3 linked regions of the Nothobranchius furzeri genome follow. The protein of the gene in region 3 purifies or fractionates together with the protein of the main gene of each other region. This does not show direct contact. Links are inferred from orthologs where the notes say so. Each region holds a gene or a part of one and is shown on either strand. Other genes may lie near its edges.

Region 1 (8,095 bases), on a different chromosome or scaffold from region 3:
TACTCTTACGTTACACTTCGCAGACATTATACTACTCTAATGTAACGCATCACAGACATTACGCTACTCTTATGTAACGCATCACACACATTACGATACTTGTACGTTATGCTTCTCAGACATAACGTTCCTCTTATGTAACGCGTCAGACATTACGCTATTCTTATGTAACGCGTCACAGACATTACGCCACTCTTATGTAACGCGTCACAGACATTACGTTACTTTTACGTTATGTTTCGCAGACATTATGCTACTCTTATGTAACGCGTCACACACATTACGATACTTGTACGTTATGCTTCGCAGACATTACGTTCCTCTTATGTAATGCATCACAGACATTACGTTCCTCTTATGTAACGCATCACAGACATTATGCTACTCTTATGTAACGCGTCACAGACATTACGTTACTCTTACTTTACACTTCACAGATATTATACTACTCTTATGTAACGCGTTGCAGACATTACGATACTCGTACGTTATGAAGAAGAAGAAAGTTTCATTTCTATAGCGCCTCTCAAGATAAAAATCACAAGGCGCTTCTGCCTTGCTTCGCAGACATTATGCTACTCTTATGTAATACGTCACAGACATTACGTTCGTCTTATGTAACGCGTCGCAGACATTACGATACTCGTACGTTATGCTTTGCAGACATTATGCTACTCTTATGTAATACATCAGACATTACGTTCGTCTTATGTAATGCGTCGCAAGACATTACGATACTCATACGTTATGTTTCGCAGACATTGCGTTCCTCTTACGCAACGCGTCACAGACATTGTGATACTTGTAGGTTATGCTTCGCAGACATTATGCTACTCTTATGTAACGCGTCGCAGACATTACACTACTCTTATGTAAAGCGTCACAGACATTACGATACTCTTACATTACACTTCAAAGACATTATACTACTTTTATGTAACCCGTCGCAGACATTATGATACTCGTACGTTATTTCTTCGCAGACATTACGTTCATCTTACGTAACGCGTCGCAGACATTACGATACTCGTACGTTATGCTTCGCAGACATTATGCTACTCTTATGTAATATGTCAGACATTACGTTCGTCTTATGTAACGCGTCGCAGACATTACGATACTCGTACGTTATGTTTCGCAGACATTATGTTCCTCTTACGTAACGCATCGCAGACATTGTGATACTTGTAGGTTATGTTTCGCAGACATTAGGCTACCCTTATGTAATGCGTCACAGACATTGTGATACTTACACGTTATGCTTCGCAGACATTACGTTCCTCTTACATTACACTTCGCAGACATTATACTACTCTTATGTAATGCGTTGCAGACATTATGATACTTTTGCATGACACTTTGCAGACATTACGCTACTCTTATGTAACGCGTCAGCGACATTACAATACTCGTATGTTATGCTTTGCAGACATTATGCTACTCTTATGTAATGCGTCGCAGACATTACAATGCTTTTACATTATGCTTTGCAGACATTATGCTACTCTTATGTAACGCGTCGCAGACATTACGTTACTCTTACGTTACACTTCGCAGACATTATACTACTCTTATGTAACGCGTCACAGACATTACAATTTTCTTACATTACACTTTGCAGACATTATGCTACTCTTATGTAACGCCGTCGCAGACATTACGTTACTCTTACATCACACTTCGCAGACATTACGCAACTCTTATGTAACGCGTCGCAGACATTGTGATACTTGTACGTTATGCTTCACAGACATTATGTTACTCGTACGTTATGGTTCACAGACATTATTCTACTCTTATGTAACGCGTCCTCCTTGGCCAAATTAATCAATGATGTGTCTTTTTTTTCAGTTTATAGGAGCTGCTATCATACAAGATAAGGAAATGGACCACATGGAGGAATATTTGGAGGTAAACTTGTTCAGATCTCCTCAGAAACTGCTGTGTTTGTTAGCTTCTCTTGATCAGAAACATGTCAATAATCACCGCTTTCCATAACTGTGGTGTTTGAGTGTAGCACATTAACGTAGACACACTTTCTGTCTACAGCCAATTGAGAGGGAGCCTCTGATCTATCACCTGGACTCCTCGTCCCGTCACACCGAGGTCAACCAAGATCTGCCTGACGAGTTCTTTGAAGTGACGGTGGATGACGTGCGAAAGCGCTTTGCCCAGCTGAAGAGCGAGAGGTGGCTGGATTGAAGTTTGTTTTAAAAGTCGTCGTGTGGTTCTTCTCAGTTTGAATCTGATTCTTTCTCAGCTTCGCGTGCCGTCCTGCTGTGTTTAGTGAATATTTAACCTTTAATTGTTGAATACCAAAGCGGTGATGGGAGTACGCCAGGCATCACTGCTGGTTCTTTATTTATTATTAGTTTGAAGCTTTCATCTAATTATGTGTGCTTCTTTAAAGCAGATGCATGTAAGATTGCTCTGTGTGTTTGTATTCATGCTTTTTATGAAACACCACACACACTACAAAGGCTTCCACAGGCTGCACACTGGGAACAATTAGCTGGACTGTTTTGTGCAGATCTTCTAGTCTTTGACTGAACTCTGTCAGGTTGGGACCTCATCACGCTCAGCCTTTAATCTCTGTCAACATTAACTTAGCAGGCTGCCTCTTAGCGACGCTGCTACCATGTCAATGACTGCAATTACTGAGGCTGGAATGAAGCCGACCACAGCAATCTGTCTGCCTCTGACAAGCGCAACACGAATACATGGCCACACACGAGCGAGGCAGGAGATCCAGCGCCGCTCATCCTCTCACAAACAAACAAACGACATTTGAACCTGTTTGTTTGTCTCTCGTTTCTTTAGGAAGTCATTAGAGGAGACGCCACTCATGACTAAATCCATGAGAGAGACTCGGATGAAAGAGAAGATCGAGCGATATCCGAAAGTGAGTTCTGTTTTCAGACACAATCACATTCCTTTCATCTAAACCACTCCGCTCTATAAATAACCTCTGCTTCTCCAGGTGGTCCTGAGGGTCCAGTTTCCTGACAGACATGTTCTGCAGGGCTTCTTCAGGCCTCTTGAGACAGGTGTGTGTTTGTGTGTTCATTTCACCTGGCTAGCCACAGGTATGGCTGCAATGTGGAACATTCTCGTGGCTCTTCACCACATTCATGACTGCAGCGGAGTGACGGAGACCGAGAGAAGCAGACGAGTCTATAATTCCAGGGATTAGAGGCATCAGAACAACAAATTAGAGGGGAATTCCTTCTGAAACGTGATCTACAGTCGGCACGGCGAGCGTCGGAGGCTTGGTGTGGTTTGTAATGCTCCAGCTGATTTTCTCTGTCTTCTGCCCAGTTGGTGTGGTGAAACAGTTTGTGAGGAGTCACCTGGAGGATCCTAGAGTCAGTTTTTACCTGTGTAAGTGTTCTGTCTTGCTGAAGTTCCTGCCATCCATCGCATTACAAGTCTCAAACACCAGTGCTCCTATCAGATTCACTTTAATGTTGCCACTTTTTCCACTATGCTTCATATTTAATTTTATTATTCTTCATTCAACCAACAAATCCACTTCTAAAGGAAGTAAACGTTGATCAAACGATGACCGAAACATGGATTAAGATGAAAATGAAGATTAACTTTCAGGTTTAACCTTTTGTCATTAGGTCAAGTAAGGATCGTCTTCTGAGTATTTATTTCTTTTTACAGTCATCACCCCCCCTAAAGTGATCCTAAATGATCCTGCAGCAACGCTCCTACAGGTGAGTCTCTGGGGACTCAGGTGATCATTATTATTTCAGAATGCAAGAAAACCATCAGGTGTGTGTGTGTATGTGTGTTTGTTTGTTTGTTTGTTTGTTTGTTTGTTTCTTTGTTTGTGTGTGTGTGTGTGTGTGTGTGTGTGTCTTGTACATACTACATACTGAGGACTGTTTTCCCTACAAAATGAGGATATTTTTCTGGTCGTCGCTTTTTTAAAAGCTTACCAGCTGGTTTTAGAGATCTGGTGTGTATTAAGTTTAACTTAGGGTGAGGCAGAGTGGAGTCACTAAAATGAATGGAAGTCAATGGAGGTCCACACAAACATATAAATACGTGTGTGTGTGTGTGTGTGTGTGTGTGTGTGTGTGTGTGTGTGTGTGTGTGTGTGTGTGTGTGACTGTGTCTGTGTGTGTGTGTGTGTGACTGTGTCTGTGTGAGTGTGTGTGTGTCTGTATGTGTGTGTGTGTGTGTGTGTGTGTGTGTGTGTGTGTGTGAAAAAGAGAGAAGATCAAAGCGATGCCTGTATTAACCCCATGTGCCAGTCTGGGAAAAATCAAGCCCAGCTGGGGTCAAGGACAGTGGAGCCGGCAGGGGGAGGGTGTGCTTTGAAGAGGAGACATGCACACACACACACACACGCATGCACACACACACATGTATTTTTGTCATAGTGAGGACCATCCATTGACTTCTGTTCATTTTTGTGACTCCACCATGCCTAACCCGTACCCTAACCTTAAAGTGACGGAGTATTTTCCCTGGCGATAAGGGAGGTAGATGCCTAAATCGTTGCAAGCAAGCAGAAATTTTTTGTCGGAGTAAGACCTTACCAAGGGATGCCCATTAGGGTCAAAAAGCCCCAGGGAGTGCTAACTTCAGCAAAATAACGAGCACATCGGACACTTTCATCAGTGGTAACAGGTGAAGAGATGAATGTGTAAAACAACAACAGGTTGTAATCGTTTGTTACAAATCAGTAAATACACTTTGTCCTCATGGGCTCCCGTAGAACAGACCCACTCCCATGTATTTTAGACCTGATTTTTATGGTTATATGTCACAAAACTGCCAATATTTTTCAACAACTGGGCATCATTTCATTCTTTTTCAGCACATTTTGAATCCAGAAATGATTTAGTAAAAACTACATATTGTCTCTTTAACTAAAACTTCATTCACACTAGACCTCTAAAACATACTAAAGAAGTGAGGACCAAAAACATGTCCTCGCTTTGAAGTACACACACACACGCGCACACACACACACACACACAGCCAGTGAAACTTAGTAATAAAACTGTTTCTTTAAGGTTTTATAGTTGTTGTGTTTTTTAAGAACAAAGGAACGTGTTTGTCATCATCCTCCTTTGAATCTGGACCTGAAAAGTGGGGTTGGGGTTTGTGTCATGATGATGATGATGATGAAGAGATTGAGTCCTCAGAGGATAACAACCCTGGAGACCATAACAGCACACGTTCAAACGTCTGCGTCGGTGTTCGTTTCGGTCCAATCAGACGTTCTGATGAATGTTTCTCATCTTTCTTTGTTCTTCATCGTCCCGTCTTCTTTTACCTCTCCCTCTCCTTCTCCCCAACTCCATCTTTTTGAGCGTCCTTCGCCTGCAGCACCCAGATGATGTCTCTGTCCTGTGCCTCCCCCTCCTCTCACCCCCGTGTCTCCATCCATCAGAGACCTGAAAGCGTTAACGTGCACAAAAACAAAATCCATAATCCCGCAGTGTCACTTCAAACACTCACAAACTGTCTGGCACTATTTTGTTGTCTATACCTCAAATTTTAACATGGAACACACGAGGAACCTTTCATCTTCTCTCTCTTGTCATGTCACGCATACATGGCTGCATATGTCTTTCTTTTAGGCGCACACAAACACACTAACTTTAATCACTTTGTGTCATGTCAGGAAAGGAATGTTTCCCAATCCAGAAGTCTTTGATACCAGCGTCCCCTCCCTCACCCGTCTGCCCCTCCATCTTCCACCAGGATCTGTTCAGCCTCTTTCTCTTTTTACTTGTGTGTTTCTACACACACTCTTTCTCCCTCTCTCACACACACACGCACACACACTCTGGTCTCATCAGCTCGTCTTATCCGGAGTTCTGCAGCCAGAGGGAACAGGATTGCTGGCATTCCCGATGTTCCACTGTAGCACGTTGTTTCCTGCTCACAGAGCTACGTTGATAGCAATTAGGCTGCTGCGTCCCCATTTAGCATCCAGCTACACAAAAGGACAGAGTGAGGATGGCGAGCGTGAGACAGGTTGTGGTGTAAACTCATCTGACCCCAGCAACAACCGGCCTGTTTGTGCTGCAGATTGTTCTAAAACGACTTGACGCAGAAGAGCTTCCTGCTTCTCCTTCCTACTGGTTGAAAGTGGAATTACAACTGTCATAAACAACCCTGCTGTTGCTAACGCTAACATGAGCCAACTTATACTAAATAAACCACAAAGTAAATACGTCCACATATATTATTACCTACAAGTCCAGTAGCAACAAAGCCAGGTCACCATCAGTTTGTGATGTCGTAGCCTCCTTTAGCTCCCTAAAACTAGGCTGCGCCAATCTTCGTTCTGGTTTCAGCTCTTTGCTTCACCTCCACAGACATTACTTTCTCACTTTTACTTCCAGGTTCCACCATGATGCCAACTAAAAAAAACTAAATCCTTCCTCTCATCGTGCTGTAGCGTGGCCGAGGTCATGTATTTCGATGTCAACCTGACACCAGGAGGTGTTGATTATAAATATATCTTAACTTGTCCAGTGGCCTTGTTTTTAAGCTGTAAACTAAAGAATCATTTCACGAGACAAATATACGATAGCTTTTATTAAACGGTGTTGGATAAAAGTCTTGTAGATAAGGCCACTGGACAAGTTAAGTGATATTCATAATCGACACCTCCTGGTGTCAGCTTGACACACCCTGTGTCATTGCAGAAAGGTACCTTTTATTGAAATGTTTACGTTTATTTATTTGGCAGACAATTTTATCCAAAGCGACTTACAATTTATAACCTGTAGGCCATGTTGTGATCTGTGGGGGAAACCGGAGTACCCGGAGGAAACCCACGCATGCATGAGGAGAACACGCAACTCCATGCAGAAAGGCTGTAGCCGAGTTTCGAACCTGCAACCTTCGTGCTGCGAGGCAGCAGTGCTAACAACTGCGCCACCATGCAGTGGCGCAGTTGTTAGCACATGCAGAAATACATGGCCTCGGCCACGCTGCAGTGCTTTTGATTGATGGTCGGTGAACTAAAAAAGCTAGCCTTTATATGAGCTACCAGCTCAGTAAACAGCTATTGGCATAAAGCAGATGGAGACCTCCAACTAGTGTTCTCACCCAAACCACTAAACTGTTAAGTACAGTTTCTGGTCAGCAGAGGGCAGCAGAGTGCTGTCCCATGTGAAGCTGCTCAGGCCACTAGCCCAACAATCACTGAAATCCACTTTCAAAGCAATAGCTTAAGTGGTCGAATCTCTTTAGTGTTGCTTTAAATCACTAATAGCCAGCATTTCTAGATCGATATTTCAATATCTTTGTGATTTTTATGCCAGCATTGTGGTGGCTCATCAGTAGGGGGCCATTAGGTCGGTCAGCGCAGTAACGTTGGAGTTACCGTGAGTCTAAGGTTTCTCCCCTTCCGGCTCATGGGTCCCTGAACAGGACTATAAAGCTACTTTCTAATCTTTCACTCTGAATTACACAAACAGGTGCCGATCATAAAATGACAATATCAGGACAAAGTTGATTTACTTCAGTAATTCCATTCAGAATGTGAAACTTGTAAATTAGATTAATTCATTACAACATACTGACGTACACTACCGGTCAAAGGTTTTAGAACGCCTCAATTTTTCCACTTATTTATTGCAGTTTAAGTCATTCAAGTCCAATAAGTAGCTTGAAATGGTACAAAGTTAAGTGGTGAACTGCCAGAGGTTAAAAGAAAGGTAAGGTTACTCAAAACTGAAGAATATTGCACATTTCAGGATGATACAAAACAGCCTTTTTCAGGGAACACGGCTGTTCTGCAGCAATGGAGGTTGATCAAGCTTTGAAAGCTGGTGCTGCTAATTCCCACAGGTGTTCTGGATTACTTCCAATCCCCTCTGTCTGCATAAAAGCAGTGTTGGAACATACTGTGGTACCACACCCTCGTGAGCATCAGTTGAACAGTATTGTACTGCAGAAAGTGTGTTGCTACAAAAACAGAGAAAAAGGCAATTAACAATGGAAGAGATGCAGACCATCATAACACTTAAATGTAGGTCTTTCCTACAGAGAAACTACAAAGAAACTCAAGGTGTCGGTGAGTACAGTTTCCTTCACCATCACAAGGCACTCTGGG
Region 2 (7,701 bases), on a different chromosome or scaffold from region 3:
AGTAGAAGTCACTGTTGCCGCACGGCAGCTTCAGCTGGAGCCCAGAGACACTGCTGAGGCCTCTTGTCCCCGCTCATGTTAAAATTAGAAAAAAATACAGGAAGTACTCGGGGTGGGAAAGGAACGAGCAACACATGAACTTTGCTTTGACTTGACTCTCCTGACTGCCCCGGTGAGCACTAACGGGCAGCTGGAGCCTTTGCTTTGATGTATCGAGGGTTCTTGCCTTTTCTTTGTTTTGTTTCAGTGAATGTGAGTCCTGGACGTGTGCCACCTTCAAGAGAAAAAAATAAGCCATTCAACGCGTTAGTTAACCCCACAGCTTTGAGAATTAACCTATGTGTACATATCTATTTGCTGGCATATATTGTATGTTAAAAAAATCACTCAGGGCCTCGGTATATAAAAATAAAGGTGAAATGGTAAGGATGCCATGAAAAGGGTATATCTGAATTTAGTTTGGTCGGTTTTCTTTAAATGATTTCATGTAATCAATGATATTCTGTTCTGTCTGAAATAGTAGATATTACACCGTATAAAGAGCGGCATGCAGGAAAAGAATAAGTATGTTAACGATATTCACTGAAAAAGACTCATTACCGTGTTATCCAGACCTGTTTACTTCTGTTCTTGTACTCAAACCCACATGTTCAGTTGTGGTCCCGTATCTAAACGTGCCACGGTGCACTCCTTCCTCCCGATTCACTCCTAGACCCACTTCACAGGTGTTTGCATGACTTATTACAGAGAAATAAAAGTAAAACAAATGTGTTCTAGTGGAGGATTATCTCAGTCTGGTGGGGACCTATTTAAAGGTGCACAATATGCATGCTTGTTAACCGGACCCCAACTGTTCTTTTTTATTCCTTTAGCTCTAGTCGGCTTTGGGTTCTGGAGGTTTGGATCCTAACGCTCAGCTGATAACTGCCATGCATTGTACTGCACACATTTGTAATAGAACTGAATGACTACAAGATTTTATGCGCTACGTTCATTTTATAGCGAGGGGGGGTAAGAAAAGGTCCGGAGAGCAGGAACTTACTGTTATTGCCCTGATGACTGAACGAGTACACGCTCTGAAACTACTGTAGTCTTCTCAAAAAGCCATAGTGACAAGGTGCTAGGTGTCGCTTTTAGGTATGAAACTCACGCGCGTGAATGCAATAGTTTGTCATGGACTTATGTATTCTTAAAGCATGTTGTACCAATACCCCTAAACGATGTCGGTGAAAGTTATTCTAGTTTAAGGGATTAAAAGAAAAGAAGAAAAAAAGAATCAAAGTGTTGTCATACTTATTTCAGTGTAGTAATGTATCTGCCTGTCGGGCTCTGTGTATGAATAACTAAAATGTATTGTTCACATATAGGTATCACAATGTTAGCACTGTTCTTTTTAAAGGAGATATTTAATTGACAGTATCATATAAAACTAAAGGAACCTCCCATTAAAGGCTAGGCAACAAGCTCATTTTAACGACAGTAAGAGTAATCCCAGCTTGTGGTGCACAGATGTTTTCCAATAAGCAGCTAGTTTATGTAGGGTTTGTGATCATTTGCTGTGTAGACACCATTTATTGTTTACCAATGATCTGGTTTGTGTTGTTTAGCAGTGGTGGGATGGTGGGTCCCCTCCGGAGAGCCAGCCTAGCCCCACCACCAGAGCCAGGGGCGTGTGTGCGGTTAGGCAGATGTTTGCTTTGGTACTTGCACATTTACAGTTACCTCATTGTTTTTGTTTTCCATGTTTGTACCCGTGGGTGGAGGGAGAAAACAACTAATATATATTATATAGGAAATGATGTCATCATTTCTTCATTCCATTGGAATCGTTTTGTTTGTAGCATTTAACACTAGTTGGTGTATTCTGTATACATCTGTATACTGTCTGAAATTTTTAAGATTTGTACTTTTTTTAAATGAAAGTTGCTAGTTATGCTTTACCAAGTAGTGCAATCATTTTTTAATTGTTGTGGCTGACTGGAGAGGGTTGTTCACTAATAAATGTATGATGTATACTCGCTACTCGGACCAGTGGCTGATTTAAAGACAAGTTCTCAAAACGAATCAAGAAAAAAGCTGCTTTTATATTCAATAAACCCACATTTTTAAAACATGTTTAATTTATAGTTGGAAAATTACATCTTTACATGAGCCCATTCAGATATTACAGGCAAAACAGGCATCTATGAGTAACCACAGGCACACTATGGGCAGACTAAACTACATAGAGCCACATGTAAAAGCTGTGGCCTTCGTTAAATATTGTACGTTTTAACTTCATGAGCTGGAGGCAGTCTGCTTTACATAGTAACAAACCTGCATTTGGTCGTTTCATGACGAGTCAAATAAAAACAATAGTGGGCATTTAAATATTTAACTTATGTACAAGTGATGGCTCATTTAAACAGGGTTCCCATCCTTTCAACTCTCGATCACAGCTGCTTCAGACTTGGACCGTGCTAGTTGTGCTTGATAATCGCTGTAGGGGTTGTGGGCTAAAGCATGAACCAAGAGAAACAGCAGGGAACTCCCCTCGAGTAACTAACAACCAGTCTTCCTCGGTTGTGACAGCTTGTGTGGGACGAGGAGGTTGTGCTGCAGCTTTAGTCTCACTGCTGGGAGGAGGATAACTGTTAGCTAACACCAACAACAGTTTCTCCACACAAGGAACCACTTCAAGAAATATTTATTTGATAAAATTCAAGACTGCAGGCTAATGGGAACCCTGTCAACACAAGTGAAGGAGCACTGGATGCAGGGTGGTTTAGTGATCCAGGTTAGTTTCTATAGCAACCATCCCTTCTGTAAAACGGCCATTTACCAAAACAAACCAAACAACATGGGTGGGTCAGAGATAAACGTGTCTCCATGTAGACGAGGTAAGTCATCTATTAGTCGTCCGTGAGGTCCTGAACAAAAACGACCTCGGAGCGACTGAGTCCTGCCTCCTTCAGCGTGGGGGGGTTGGGCTGCTCTGCAGTCGGAAGGCAGGGCAAGACTCGGCGAGGGAAGTTTGTCACGATCTGAAACTTCTCTGGAGTTTCCTTCAAAGAGAAAAGGAAGTCGTAGATTACCTGTGGAAGGAAGAAGAAACATGTAGATGTTTCATCACATGTCAGCGTCTAATAACCAAACATTGACCAGAGGCGTGTGAAGGAGACCAAAGACACCAGCGCTCACCGTCAGAGACTGAGCGAACAGGAACCGCCTCTCTACTCGTGTGTCGTTGGGCAACTTGAACACTATTTTAACACTTTCTGGATCATCAGCAGATGGTTCTGGAGGAAGGCACTCCGACTTCCTCTCCTTCTCCTCTTCTAGTGTCTGGAGTGAAAACAACAACAGGAATCAGACATGTAGGGGAAGACCAACGTATCCATGTACAAACGAAGACGACCAGACTCACTCTTCGTCTCCTCTCCTCTGCAAGAGCACTCTGTCGGACCTTTTCCTCCTCTTGCTTCTTCTGCTCCAGCTCCTCCCTTTTCTTCCTCTCCTTCTCCTGGTCGGCGCGTAAGGAGGCCAGGTAGGCCTCATCCTGCTGCTGCCTCAGCACCTGGGTCTGGTTCCTCTCCTCTCTGGAAACAACACTTCAGTCTTCACTCGCTGCTACTTCAGCTGTAGAGAATGTGACGACGGTCTCACTAACTCCAGCTGGTCTGACGTACCGCTCAAGGCGCTCTGACATCAGGTATGTCTGGTTGGCATCCATGATGAAGGTGACCTGATTGATGAGCTCCTCAGGCTGAATCAGACCCTCGAGCCGACCCACCACGGTCATCTTCCGGTCCTTTAGCATGATCATGGCCAGGAATGGGTAGGTGTTCTCCCGCAACGCTTGGGACACTTGGTATAGAAACCATTGTTACACAAAAGCCCAGTGGACTACCATTATTACCACGCTTCTGCACGGATCTTAATGTTTTTGTAGCCACTCAAGCTAACAGAAGAGTCCCTGTAGGACAGAAAAGCAGCACTAGCTTCTAGCTTTGGGGACTCCACATGGGTCTGAACTAGGGCTGGGCGGCATGGCCTACAACTAATATCACGACATATAGAGGATTTCACCTCGCTAGCGATGAACAGACTAGAACTACAGGTGTGTGCAGGAACAACAGTTGTCCACTAGATGTCACGTGTTCCAGGTTGAGTCACACTGGTATGCCACTGAAGGTGGTGCAGCTTCTTACAGGACATGAATGTTGCCAGCTCACACACATATTTCATGTTCTCATCTCATTCCTGAGACGGGAACAATTATCTCGGTAAGAGTGGATTTATTGCCCAGCCCTGGTCTCAACATGTTGTTTACCAGTGATATCAGAGTGTTTGTTGTTTTCAGAGCAGCCAGACTTACCCCAGGTTTCCACGGGAGCCGTCAGCAGCACGTTACTGCAGCAGCACGTCTAGCTGCTGCTTGGCCCTTCCCACGAGACGCGACGCAGCAGAGGAGCAGCTGTCACCGACAGGGCACGAAGTCACACGAGTGACTTCGTCAGTAAACACAACAACAAGCAGGAGAAAACTACAACATGGCTCCAAAATGTTTGTGTTTTTATATTCTGTCCGTTTTATAATCGCCGATACGGACCTGAAAAACAAAGGAGACCGCTAGCTAGGTGATAACTTCTCACGGGGCCGCACAGTTAGTAACCTTTTTTAAAGTAAAGCGACCGGAAGGCAGTACGTTCTTTATTCTGAAAATTTCGGGAGCTTCTCTCCATTTCCGCGTCCGATTTCCTGTCTTTCCTTCCCCAAAAATGTCGAACTTGACCCGTTTCAGAGGCGTCGCGCGTAGGAAATAGAACCGGCGCGTAAAGGCCGCGACATGCTGCTCCTGAGACGCGGCCGACTCGTGCTGCTGACAGCTGCTGACGGCTCCTGTGGAAAAGGTTCTGTTGACCACAGCCGTTCCTATCAGCAGCTATGACGTGCTGCTGCAGTAACGTGCTGCTGACGGCTGCTGTGGAAAGCCGGGGTCACACTGATAACAGATGAACGAATGAACGGGCATACACACCTCGGTAGCCCTCGGGCTTGCTGGTGGAACATGCCCAGAAGAGCATCCGTGTGTTGAGGAAGGTTATGACCTCTTCTGTACATAACGTGGAGCTGAGGAGCCACAGATCAGAGGAAAGGATGAATATGTTCACCTCATCTAACAGTTAAGGTGTGGTTCACTCATTAATCAGTGCATCTGCAGAGGTCTCTAGCAGGAATGAAGGCCTCGTACGTCACACTCTGTTTCAGAATCTAGAGAATGACCAGATCAGAGAACTTCAGACGACAGGATCTGGAGTCTTACTTCCTGATATTCGGACATCTCGCCTCTGATTGGCTAACAGCAACGCGACTTTACCACTTTGCAACTCAACTCAAACTTGGAGTTCTGCTGTGTGATGTAGTTGCTAACGCTAACGTAAGCTTCTACTAGCCGACACGTTCTCTGCTGTTTCCTGGACGCTAAACCAACAGCAGCCTTCCTCGTCGTGATTCCAGACGGGTGAGTGCATGAACGTTAGTGACATGGTGACGTAGATCTGTCAGGCTTTTCTAATTCTAGACTTTCACCGTCTAGATCTGTCAGAAGCTAATGCAGGACATAGGTGGAGGAACTTTTCATGTTCAGCCTGCATGAAAACCTCAGACCGATTATAATTAGAACCACACCTTTAAAACTATTGTATGAATAATCAGATTATATGCTGTGAACAGATGAGCACACACACGGTTCATTAGTGTACCGATGGTGTGAGATATGTTAAGGACAGAAAGGAATACCGGCAAAACTCGTCTGTGTCTTGATGGTCGTCCCCGTGAAGGTACACTAAAAGGTAGCGGAGCTCCCGTTTGGCATCATTCAGCGCCTGTATCAACACAACAAGCTGGGCGGTGAGCCTGCTGAACATCCCATAATAAGACACGCCTCTGACGTGAACTAACCTGGCTGTATGTCCCCTGGTAGAAGACAGGATGTGCCTGACCGTACTTTTCCTCAAAACTCTGAATGAAAGACACGACGTCTCCAACGGGGTCCGTCACGCGCCCACGAGGATCCGACCTGATGAACCGCAGGGCAAACCTCGAGGACACAAAAACAGCTGATTACTCTGGTGAATAGAACGATGACACACGACCAAAGTGCTCCGATTACCTGAATATATCCAGAAGTGTGTAATATGTAAATCTGAATGGCAGCATTATCAAGTAGTAACCCCATCCTAGCAAACCCTGAGAGGAAGAGCATGAAGACGTCACGAGAGCAAAAACAGAGTCACACATAAAGAAGTAAAAACTGAAATTAAAGGTATTAAGTTACCATAAAACATGAAGAGGAACTAGAGTATGGTTTTAGAAGGAGCAATTTAAGTAGATTTGTACTTTGACAGGAAGCAGTTTCCTGTCTGAGTGATGACATCACAGACCTACCCTGGGCTGCGGCCTTGAGACGATGTAACTATAAACTCTATGGTCTGCTGTGTTGACCTGCAGCGGCCTGGAGGGTGGAGGGTTAAACACACTGGGAACGCCTTCCTGCTCATTGAGTCTGTCTTGGACTGCAGCCTGAGAAAAGGGTAGAGAACACACACACACGGCGCTCAGCTCAGAGAATCCACACATGAGAATAGACGTTACGAAGCCAAGGGAAGCGGCTGCACCTCTATGTTCCAGTTGTGCTGCTCTAACGTTCGACGGCATTGGTCCATTGAGTCCAGACCCGTTAAGTCCTGTTAGACGTGAACACAAAGTCAGAGAGATGATCTAAAGTTCCTCCTACAGGCTGAAGAACTGCTTTAAAACCGTTCATGTTCCCCTCTGGTGGGACTGGCGGTAAACTCAATAGATCCTATAACTCGGGTCAGAACTCTCTCTCCCAAAGCATCAGCTGGTTTACCCTGACAGAGATCATCACGGCCTCATCTTCTGCGTGGACTCGATGTGCAGCACTACAAGGCTTCTTCTAGGTTTTAAACTTGGAAAATCCAGACTTGTCCCGACAGACTTTCTGTTGTTAGCTTGATTTTCTGGCCTCGTGAAGGCATTTGCTGCTAATGTAGACACCATGTCCAGGAGTGAATCTTCAGCAAGACACACACGTTATTACCTTTGCAGATCAACGCTATTAATCAACTATTAATGCCAAACTGAGGCTTTGGAACAACGAGTTCAACAGTAATCACATCTGATTAGGTGCTGACACAAGGCTGCACAAGCATCAACAGGGAAACTCGTGAAAATGTAAATATTAAAAACAAATAAACATCAGCTAATGCGTCAATGTAAATGTGAAAACAATCCTACTGAATCCTGGCCACAAAACATTCAGGGACAACAATCATCTGATTTTAATGTACTTAAACTGTAAAACGATGTTATTGTGTACAATTCTCCTGACTTTGAATCAAACATTGACACTGACTGCAGTAAAACATGTTTTTGTGTAGAATAAAAAAGGCAAAAAGGCCTTTTCAATAAGTTTTAATTGAACCATTTACTCATTTGGGCTCATATATTGTGGGATGCATCTGATATTCTACAAATACACATGTACTAGCCAAAGAGGAGAACTGGACTCGCCTTCTAAGTTTATTTTCCAGTAAACTTTCGTGGATTTGAGGGACAATTTACCTCAAAAGTGAATGAGCTCAATGACTGACAGACTACAGACCCGTCAAATTACAAACTACGGTACAACTTTAG
Region 3 (8,195 bases):
GTAAGGATTCTACGTAATGTTTGATAAATGAGACCCCTGCACAGAATGCGTGTTAGGCGACAAGATGAAAGACAGATGCTGTAAACACTAGACTACCAAGGCCAATACAACAGCAGGCTGGCCTAGGTGCGGTTTGTCAGAGCGAACATGGGCAGAGCTTTGCTGAAACAGACCGTCTCATTTCCAGGTAAGCTGTTTATAATTTTTATTAGTTAAACCTTTGTAACGTGAGGAAGTGTGGGTTTTCTGTCACAAAGGTGGTGTTGGACTCAGCTGGGTCAAAGCTGGGTCGTTGAGAACTTTCATCCACAGATTAAGACCTGAACGCCAGCGAGTCTGGGAGGAAACCATAACATCTGCCACCTGCAGCTTCGTGCCAGAAGATGTTGTTCCCACAGAAGATGTTGTTCCCATAAAAGTAGTCATAACATAACAAGTCTTAAAACTTGGTTTCTTGATTTTAATGTTAAAGTAATCATCAATTTGCTCATTATAACTGTGTTTTAATCAAATGAATGGTTCTTATGCTTTGGGTAATTATAATGGATTAATGAATCCATACTTAAATAATGTTTGAGGATGTTTGTTACTGACCTTCACACACACTCAAGCACACAAACACTCACACACACCCACACACAGATTCTCACAGTAAACTCCAAACACATTTGCTGACGCACACATTTGCTTTGAGAAGAGAAAGGTTTTTGGTAAGTTTCAGTCTTGATTTCAGTTCGTGCTTGACAACGAAAGAGAGAGGACCTGAATAAACGCTAAAAGGGGGGAGCCGGTTGGCTCGTTTCTCCCCCCCCCCCCTCACGCTGTTCCTGTTAACCAGACAGGACAGCTGAATCGCAACTTCTAACGCAGACTCATACAGTGTCTTTGATTTCTGAGTGAATTAACTTAAGAAAACGCATCGACAAAACGCTTTACCATCAACATGTACCGAGGGCAACTCTGGACCGGTTCCGTTCGACACCTACGTCTCCCCTGTCAGCCGCTGGTGTCATCTGGATGAACCACCACCATCCTCCACGGCCCGGATCCGAAAGAGGGTCCACAAGAGTTCGGTGAGACAGAGCACGGTGTTTAGCGTTTGATGCAGTTCTCTGATAAGACCTAAGTTTATCCAAACCATCACTTCACTCAGACACCTGTTCTTCCTGAAGCAAAATCAGACTCACACACGCATTCATATCACAACATTCTCAATCTTCATAAATTCACCACAAGGTCTATTTGATCATATCAACTGTTAAAGATTGTCCCACAAGTTGCCAATGTTGATTGTTATTTCCTGTTTGTCAATTTCAAAATCATTAGTTTAATTTGAAGAATTAAAACTTTTAATTGTCAAACTGGTTTCCTCATTGAACTGAAACACAGACACACAGATATTATCGTCAGTTTATCGATGAAAACAACCTTTGAGTCTTCATAACAATATAAAATTTGGTTATTGATTTATTAAAATTAATAATCCGAATTAATACGTAGCATGGTTCCTCTTTCATAAAAGAGCCTAAAACCATAACGCTACAAATATGGCTGAGACAAACCAGTTTCTCCTACACCTTTAAGCGCCAAAGTTGCAATACTGCGACAAGTGTCATTACTGACTTTAACGATCCACAGCTACAAATACAATCCCTCATGAAATTATTACTTACACCAGAAGATAGTGGAGATATGCAACTTCAGGCTGAGCTATATTTATGAGTGTGTTTATACTGAAAGTTTCAGAGTTTATAGGGTTTGAAAACTGCCTCCCGCTAAGAGGTTACCGGTTGGGGAGAAGACGAGTGCACAAAGAGGGTGAATGTTAGAGGGATAAAACTTGTGATTTCCGGCAAGTCTGGTCTTTGTTGACTGATATCTTTGTCTGGTCATGACTGAGTCCGATTATGAAGCAGAATATCGACTCTGATGAAGAAATTCACTCATCCAGCCGCAAAGATTGACGCTGCTGAACAGCTAGTGCTACACTTACAAATTCCAAACGTTGGGTTTGACGTTATATATATATATATATATATATATATATATATATATATATATATATAAAAGATAAACAATGAAATTTAAATTTCAAAGAAATTCATATATGTATATATAAATTGAAAAATTCAAAATATGACATTTTCTAAATACCATGAAAAAATAAGAAGGAACATCTGTAAAAATGATGCATTCCAATACGGCAGCCCGATGACGTCATATTATGCAAATTAGAAGAGTGAATTTTGGTCCTACTGAAAATGTCTCTCATTTACAGTTTACCTTTATCTCTAACCATTTCCGAGCTACAACCTTTTGAAAAAGTCATGTCAAAATTGAACAGCTTCCTGAAAAAACTCTGGCGCCTAAATGGTTAGTATATGGTTGTAGGAAATCACTTTTGAAATCAGGGTGTTGTCGTTTAAAATAAAAACTGCAATGTTTTTAGTAAAACGTGCATTTATGAATTTACTTTCCATGTAAAAATGTGTTGTTTTCCACAGATGTGGCACAACTGAATGCTGAAATTCAAACCCTTATGATTTCCAGTTTAACTCACTTGATCTTTAGCAGACTGAGGGTTTTGTTCTGAGACACAATCTCTCCGGTCTTGTTGCGGTTTAGATAAACAGAGAACCCATTGGAACTGAATCCAAACTCTTTGGCCACCTGTAGGAGACATAAATGATCACATACCGTTGTAAAACCTTAAAGTTGGTTAATGTATTTAATAGTCTGTTCTAGACACCTGCTGAGTGAAGGCTGCTTGTGATTGCTACAGATCACTCAAAGCAGATTAATCAAAAGTTTTTGAGGTGTCCAGCTGGTTTGCAACAACTGATGAGTACACTGAGCAGGTTGGAGGTCCTGCATCCTAATAACATCCCATCATTTAGGAAATCTATCTGGATAACATCTTAACTAGCATATTGTAAAAAAATAAATAAATAAAATAAATCTTTGAGATCAGGATGGACAAAAATCACAAGAGGCTGTTGACGCCACTATGTTTAAATAAATCCCATTCATCATCTCTTTCAACAGCTAACCTTCAGTGCCCAAACCATATAAGCCCCCCCCCCCCCCTCCCAACACACACACACTTGTGTTTTTCTTTTCCACTGATCAGGGACAAAGATCTGCTCCTCCCATTGATCTGAAAACTACACTCTCCTGCGGCAACACAGTAGCATGCATTTTTAATTAGATAGTGCTGCAACGCTGCTGGAATTCTGATCTATTTCAGGCTTTCAAAGCCAACGCTTTTAATTAAACTCTTATTATTGTGGGTGCTTAAGTCAATCAGATAACTAAATAAAACCAGAAGAAAATTAAAGGCCAAGTTGTGGTAGTTACCAAATATGTCAATCGGTCTTAAACTGTGTGAAATGTCAGCACTAGTAAATTAAACCCCAAATTAAACCTGCCCTGTCTAGCATCAACTGGATTCCCTGAATGGAAATTTCCCCACAAGCCTTTTGTCAATACCCGGAAGCCATGAAAGCTCACAGGAGCTGTGCAGGACAGACCTGCTCTGGTACTCTCTGCATATCTTTAGTCAATTTATCTTAGTCTGTGTTTGTGTGTGTGTGTGTGTGTGTGTGTGTGTGTGTGTGTGTGTGTGTGTGTGTGTGTGTGTGTGTGTGTGTGTGTGAGATTACAGGCTTGCCTGTAACTCACGTGTTTGGTAAAATTCCAAATGTTTGCCAGCAATAATTACTAAGTGATTGTTTAAAAAAGCGTAGCATGCTTGTTTATTCATTTTGACTTGTGTTTTTGTGCTGCAAAATCTTATATCCACTGAATCCAAATGAAATGAATAAGCATAGGTTGTAGATTCGAGCCCTGCTCAGTCTGACGCTGTTGTTGTGTCCTTGGGCAATCACTCAACCAACCTTGCCTGTTGGTGGTGTTCGGAGGGACCGGTGGCATCTGTATGGCAGATTTGCCTCTGTCAGTGTGCCCCAGGGCAGCTGTGGCTACAATGTAAGTGTGAATGTGTGTGTGAATGGGTGAATGACTAATTTTTTTGTAAAGCATCTTGGGGGGTTCCAGGACTCTAGAAAGCCCTATATCAAATATCAGGCCATTTACCATTTACCAACCAATGTCATGGGACTTACTGACATTATGTGTTTGCAAAAACAGTGATTTGGTCAGATTATGTCATTTAGCAAGAACATTTTATCCAGTAAAAAAAAAGTTAGCCAATTGAAAATCGGTTACCAAATATTTATCCACTTATTTATACTGTATAAAGACAATTGTGATTAAAATCTAGTTTGTTTCCATTTTGCCACTAACAACAAAACACTACACACGTAAACACCAATGAAAATTATGTGTATGTTAACTTGTTTACCTTCTTTAGAAAGGCAGCTGCCGTTTCTCTCTTGGTGGAAGCAATTTTCTTCATCCCATCTGGGGACTGAATCCTGACTATCTAAAAAAATAAATAAATAAGGCTTAAGTTAAACTTTTGTCTGAGTTTCAGCTAATCATAAAACCAGGATGTCCCAGAGTTTCGGAATGAAAATCAGTGAATCAAAACATTTACATTTCTCCAACTTTTGTCCCTCTCAGATGACAAGGACAATGAAAAAGGTAGCGTTAAAGCTTGGTTATACGACTGAGTTTATTAGAAAGTATTTTAAATCTATAACACGGAGATTAAACTTATCTGATACTTTTTGTTGGTTTGTATACAGCCAACTGATTATGTATCTCTAAAATTACAATAACACTCATATAATGAGCAGACGATAAAATACTTATTCACTCATTTAATTTATTATTGAAACATCTAGGCTCAAAAGGCTTTAAGGTTTACAGCAGACCTGTTTTAATCAGGATATCGTAAGAAGGAGCTAAGCTCGGCCAGTTATCTGCACAGGCCGCAGTCACTCTGTGCTAACGTTAGCTAACAAAGCTAATTCTGCTGCCTCATCCCGCAGGACTCCGGCTAGCTGCCGTTAGCACCATTAACACCACAAACTATTATACTTACTATATTATCCGCCATGTCGCCTAACTGAAAGTCACTGGTGTACGTCCTTGTGCTGATAGACAAAAACTACAAAAGTCACGAAGCGTTACTGGCTGACTGTCAGCGAAACTCCATCACAGAACTCTAACACCGGTGTAGCACACTATAGTGTCCGACAGTTCACCCCGGCTGAAACAAGTGAGCCTGAAAACATGGGTTCCAATTTGTGTCTTTTTTTCGACAACCATTAATTCAATCTGTCCAGTGATTTTTATTCTAAATATTTTCTGTTTAGTTTAGTCATTCACAGGCAGTGAATTTAATTGTATTTGGATTCAATTGGAAACTGTGAAAGAGAGCGGAAAGTAAGAAGGAGGACAGCAATCAAAAACGCACATCATTTCAAGTTGCACGTAATAACATTTTGCAGCATGCAACAAATAGTTTGGGTGGTAAAACAGTAAAACTTAAAACAGACAGGACTTATCAGAAAGGTTATGTGAAATGCATACGTGTAGGAAAATGAGCACCAAAATATTTTAACAAAAAGATACAGAAACACTGATTGGGCAATTAGTAATTAACCCATAGTACACAGTAAAAACTGGTTAAAAACGTTGAAACACAGTACAATGTCTCTCCATTTACAGCAATGAATGTGGTATTTTCCCAGATGGAAAATCATATTCATCATATCCGAAATATTAACTTGCAAGTCAGTAACAACAGAACATGTTAACAAATAAATTCTGAAGGTTAGGAATATTTAGACTCAGCCACTCCATATTAGCAAATCAAAACTTATTAGAAACAGCGCAGTCAAAAAGAGGTGATCTTCTAATCTAAGGTGTTAAGCATTTGAACCATTTATGGAAGAAGATAGTAAGATGAAATACTGTGGTCAAAATTGGTTACCGCAATCACTATCTTACTACTGTCTCGTGAGTTTCATGGTTGTTGCAGTTACGGATCATCAGCACCAGAAGATTCTAACAAAGACTAATCATACACAGTTGATAATATTGTTATATCTGGTGATAGCACTCTTGGGTGTTTTACATTGGGGAGCATTTGCTTATACACACCCAGCATTGTTTTATGTTTTGTATGAAAACACATGTAGAACTAATGTGCATCACTAAATTGACTTAATCGAACCAGACACAAACTAGAGCAGAGGAAAAATGCCTGTAAGTTTAGCAAGCTTCAAATCCTTCTTGCAGAAAGAACAACCATAAATCTTGCCATATGGTACGCTGAGATTTGGGGTGACATATATGCAAAGTGCCAACATCTGATTTGTAGTCAAAGTAATTACAATTTTTTTTTACAAACTGATAAATCTCAAAGAACGTGACAGGCGTGGTTGAAACACTTGCAGTGGTGGCTTGTTATCGTGCTCTGAGGACGTGCACTGATAAAAGTCAGATCGAATCTTAAAGTTCTCACTTTTCTCAGAATAAATCATCAAGGCTTAAATTAAATGATTTCAACTGGTTTTAAAAGAGTTTGGCTTGTTATAGAAGGTTCTTTAGCACCAACCTGTCCAGTTACTGGTGAACCTGCTTATGAGCAACAGTTGTGACACAGAGAGAGAGATGACTCTGAGGAACATCACAGACTCTCACCCTGAGCAGCTTTAACCCTTGAGTCTTTATTGTTACAGCATTTTCTCCGCCATGTTCTTCTCTATACTCTGTGCTGTTCACTGTCATTTCCCAAATCTCCCGTCTGGTTTCATGGTCTTGGTCCTGTCCACAAAGATGCGCGTAATGGCCAGCACAGGCTATGTGTCTTAGGCAACCAATGCTATGTAACATCCTTGTAGTCCAGTGGCTAGAGTACCTGCCTGGTCACTTTAATCGCTGGACTACTAAGTCAACAGAAGACTCTAGGTCCATTTTGTCAGAGCGAGCATAGGCGGAGCTTCACTGAAACAGACCGTTTCAGTTCCGGGTATATATTCAGGCGAACAAAAAAAAACCCCCCTCATATTTAAGATAAATTACATCTCAATAATATTTGATCATATATTGAGCTTACCTTTGCTCTCAAAGGCATAAAATAGCACAATCTGGCTCCTTTAAATGACATTTAAATTTTAAGGTGATCCCCCTTTATTCTGAGTGATCAAAGATGACAATATTCAGCAGAAATGTGCTTGCATGCACTATGTAACCTATGTGGTTTACTTTGATGACAAGCTTTTTTTCTTGTACCTGACTATGTTATATATTTTTTATTTTTTTATATGTGAAGTGCTTTGTGGTTTTTACCTTGAAAGATGCTATGCAAATAAAGCCAGGTGTTGAGGCCTCCAGTTCTAGTTGCCTGCTCTGTAGCAGGAAAGTTGGAGAACTGATCTCATAAACAGCCAAATCAAATAAAGTTTGATTTTATGGAAAACCTCATTACCATCATTTTCAAATGAGTTAAAGTGTTATCTTTGTTTAATCAACATATTAGAGAGTTTTAAAAAAAGCAACAGTCCTTAAAATTCTCTATGTTAGAATATTTACTGACATTCTGAAGTAAGTACATGCACAGCATAAACAAAATTAAAACATTTAACATTGATTTCAAATAGCTGTGTTTTTAATTTTATTTGTGCATGTGGGATTGAGGGTATGTTCTCTGTATGTGTGGTAGTATTTTAATAATAATAATCAAAACAATTCAATTAAAATAAAAATGTTTTCCTCCGCAGGAGCCAGAAGTATGGGTTGTTAGTTCCTCAGACTTTGTAAGGGTCTGAAAGACTGATGTTGTGCTTCTTGTTTTACCCGTTTCCAGTTCAGTCTTGACAAAGACCCTACTGATGGGTTGTCTCCAGTAGATGGCAGCAGTGAGTCACCACAAAGGCAATCCAAGTGTGCGTCTGAGCAGATGCCTGATCAAAATGTAACAGAGCCACGTACACACGGTCTAGTTGTTAAAATGAATTTTAAAAAAGGACAAGCAGTTGCACTTTTTCCAGTTTTCAAAACAAACAACCTGCTATAAATATTCACGGTGTGGGGTGATCGGCAGTGATGGATTTAGGCACAGATCGTATTTAACGACGCAGATTGTTTTAGTGTCCAACATCATGAAAGAAGTAGATCTTCAACGCAACACCTCTGAAAGTCAACTTCTAGAGAAGAAACAAGACATTAATTCTGTCGTTGCTCCTCAGCAGAAGGATGTTCTTATAAAGCAAACATCTGGT

What was found.
Region 1: the proteins of nploc4 (region 3) and aspscr1 purify together in Homo sapiens (affinity purification with mass spectrometry; 3 studies listed by BioGRID and IntAct, with this or other methods). This does not show direct contact. The link is inferred for Nothobranchius furzeri from reciprocal best matches to the Homo sapiens genes NPLOC4 and ASPSCR1.
Region 2: the proteins of nploc4 (region 3) and faf2 purify together in Homo sapiens (affinity purification with mass spectrometry; 3 studies listed by BioGRID and IntAct, with this or other methods). This does not show direct contact. The link is inferred for Nothobranchius furzeri from reciprocal best matches to the Homo sapiens genes NPLOC4 and FAF2.

Annotation. Positions count from the first base shown.
Region 1 is NC_091746.1:22,804,767-22,812,861, reverse strand, and holds part of aspscr1 (tether containing UBX domain for GLUT4), read left to right. Parts: intron 1-1,851; coding exon 1,852-1,911; intron 1,912-2,049; coding exon 2,050-2,189; intron 2,190-2,820; coding exon 2,821-2,902; intron 2,903-2,980; coding exon 2,981-3,047; intron 3,048-3,318; coding exon 3,319-3,381; intron 3,382-3,669; coding exon 3,670-3,722; intron 3,723-8,095. UniProt on the Homo sapiens protein: Tethering protein that sequesters GLUT4-containing vesicles in the cytoplasm in the absence of insulin. Modulates the amount of GLUT4 that is available at the cell surface. Enhances VCP methylation catalyzed by VCPKMT.
Region 2 is NC_091742.1:44,984,769-44,992,469, forward strand, and holds the end of faf2 (FAS-associated factor 2), read right to left. Parts: intron 6,729-7,701; coding exon 6,660-6,728; intron 6,565-6,659; coding exon 6,430-6,564; intron 6,232-6,429; coding exon 6,155-6,231; intron 6,083-6,154; coding exon 5,944-6,082; intron 5,868-5,943; coding exon 5,782-5,867; intron 5,113-5,781; coding exon 5,021-5,112; intron 3,847-5,020; coding exon 3,669-3,846; intron 3,579-3,668; coding exon 3,407-3,578; intron 3,325-3,406; coding exon 3,181-3,324; intron 3,075-3,180; coding exon 2,892-3,074; 3' UTR 2,670-2,891; downstream 1-2,669. UniProt on the Homo sapiens protein: Plays an important role in endoplasmic reticulum-associated degradation (ERAD) that mediates ubiquitin-dependent degradation of misfolded endoplasmic reticulum proteins.
Region 3 is NC_091756.1:53,432,078-53,440,272, forward strand, and holds the start of nploc4 (nuclear protein localization protein 4 homolog), read right to left. Parts: upstream 5,159-8,195; 5' UTR 5,024-5,158; coding exon 5,009-5,023; intron 4,445-5,008; coding exon 4,364-4,444; intron 2,671-4,363; coding exon 2,561-2,670; intron 1-2,560. Other genes in the region: gastrula zinc finger protein XlCGF57.1, read left to right, coding at 8,076-8,193. UniProt on the Homo sapiens protein: The ternary complex containing UFD1, VCP and NPLOC4 binds ubiquitinated proteins and is necessary for the export of misfolded proteins from the ER to the cytoplasm, where they are degraded by the proteasome.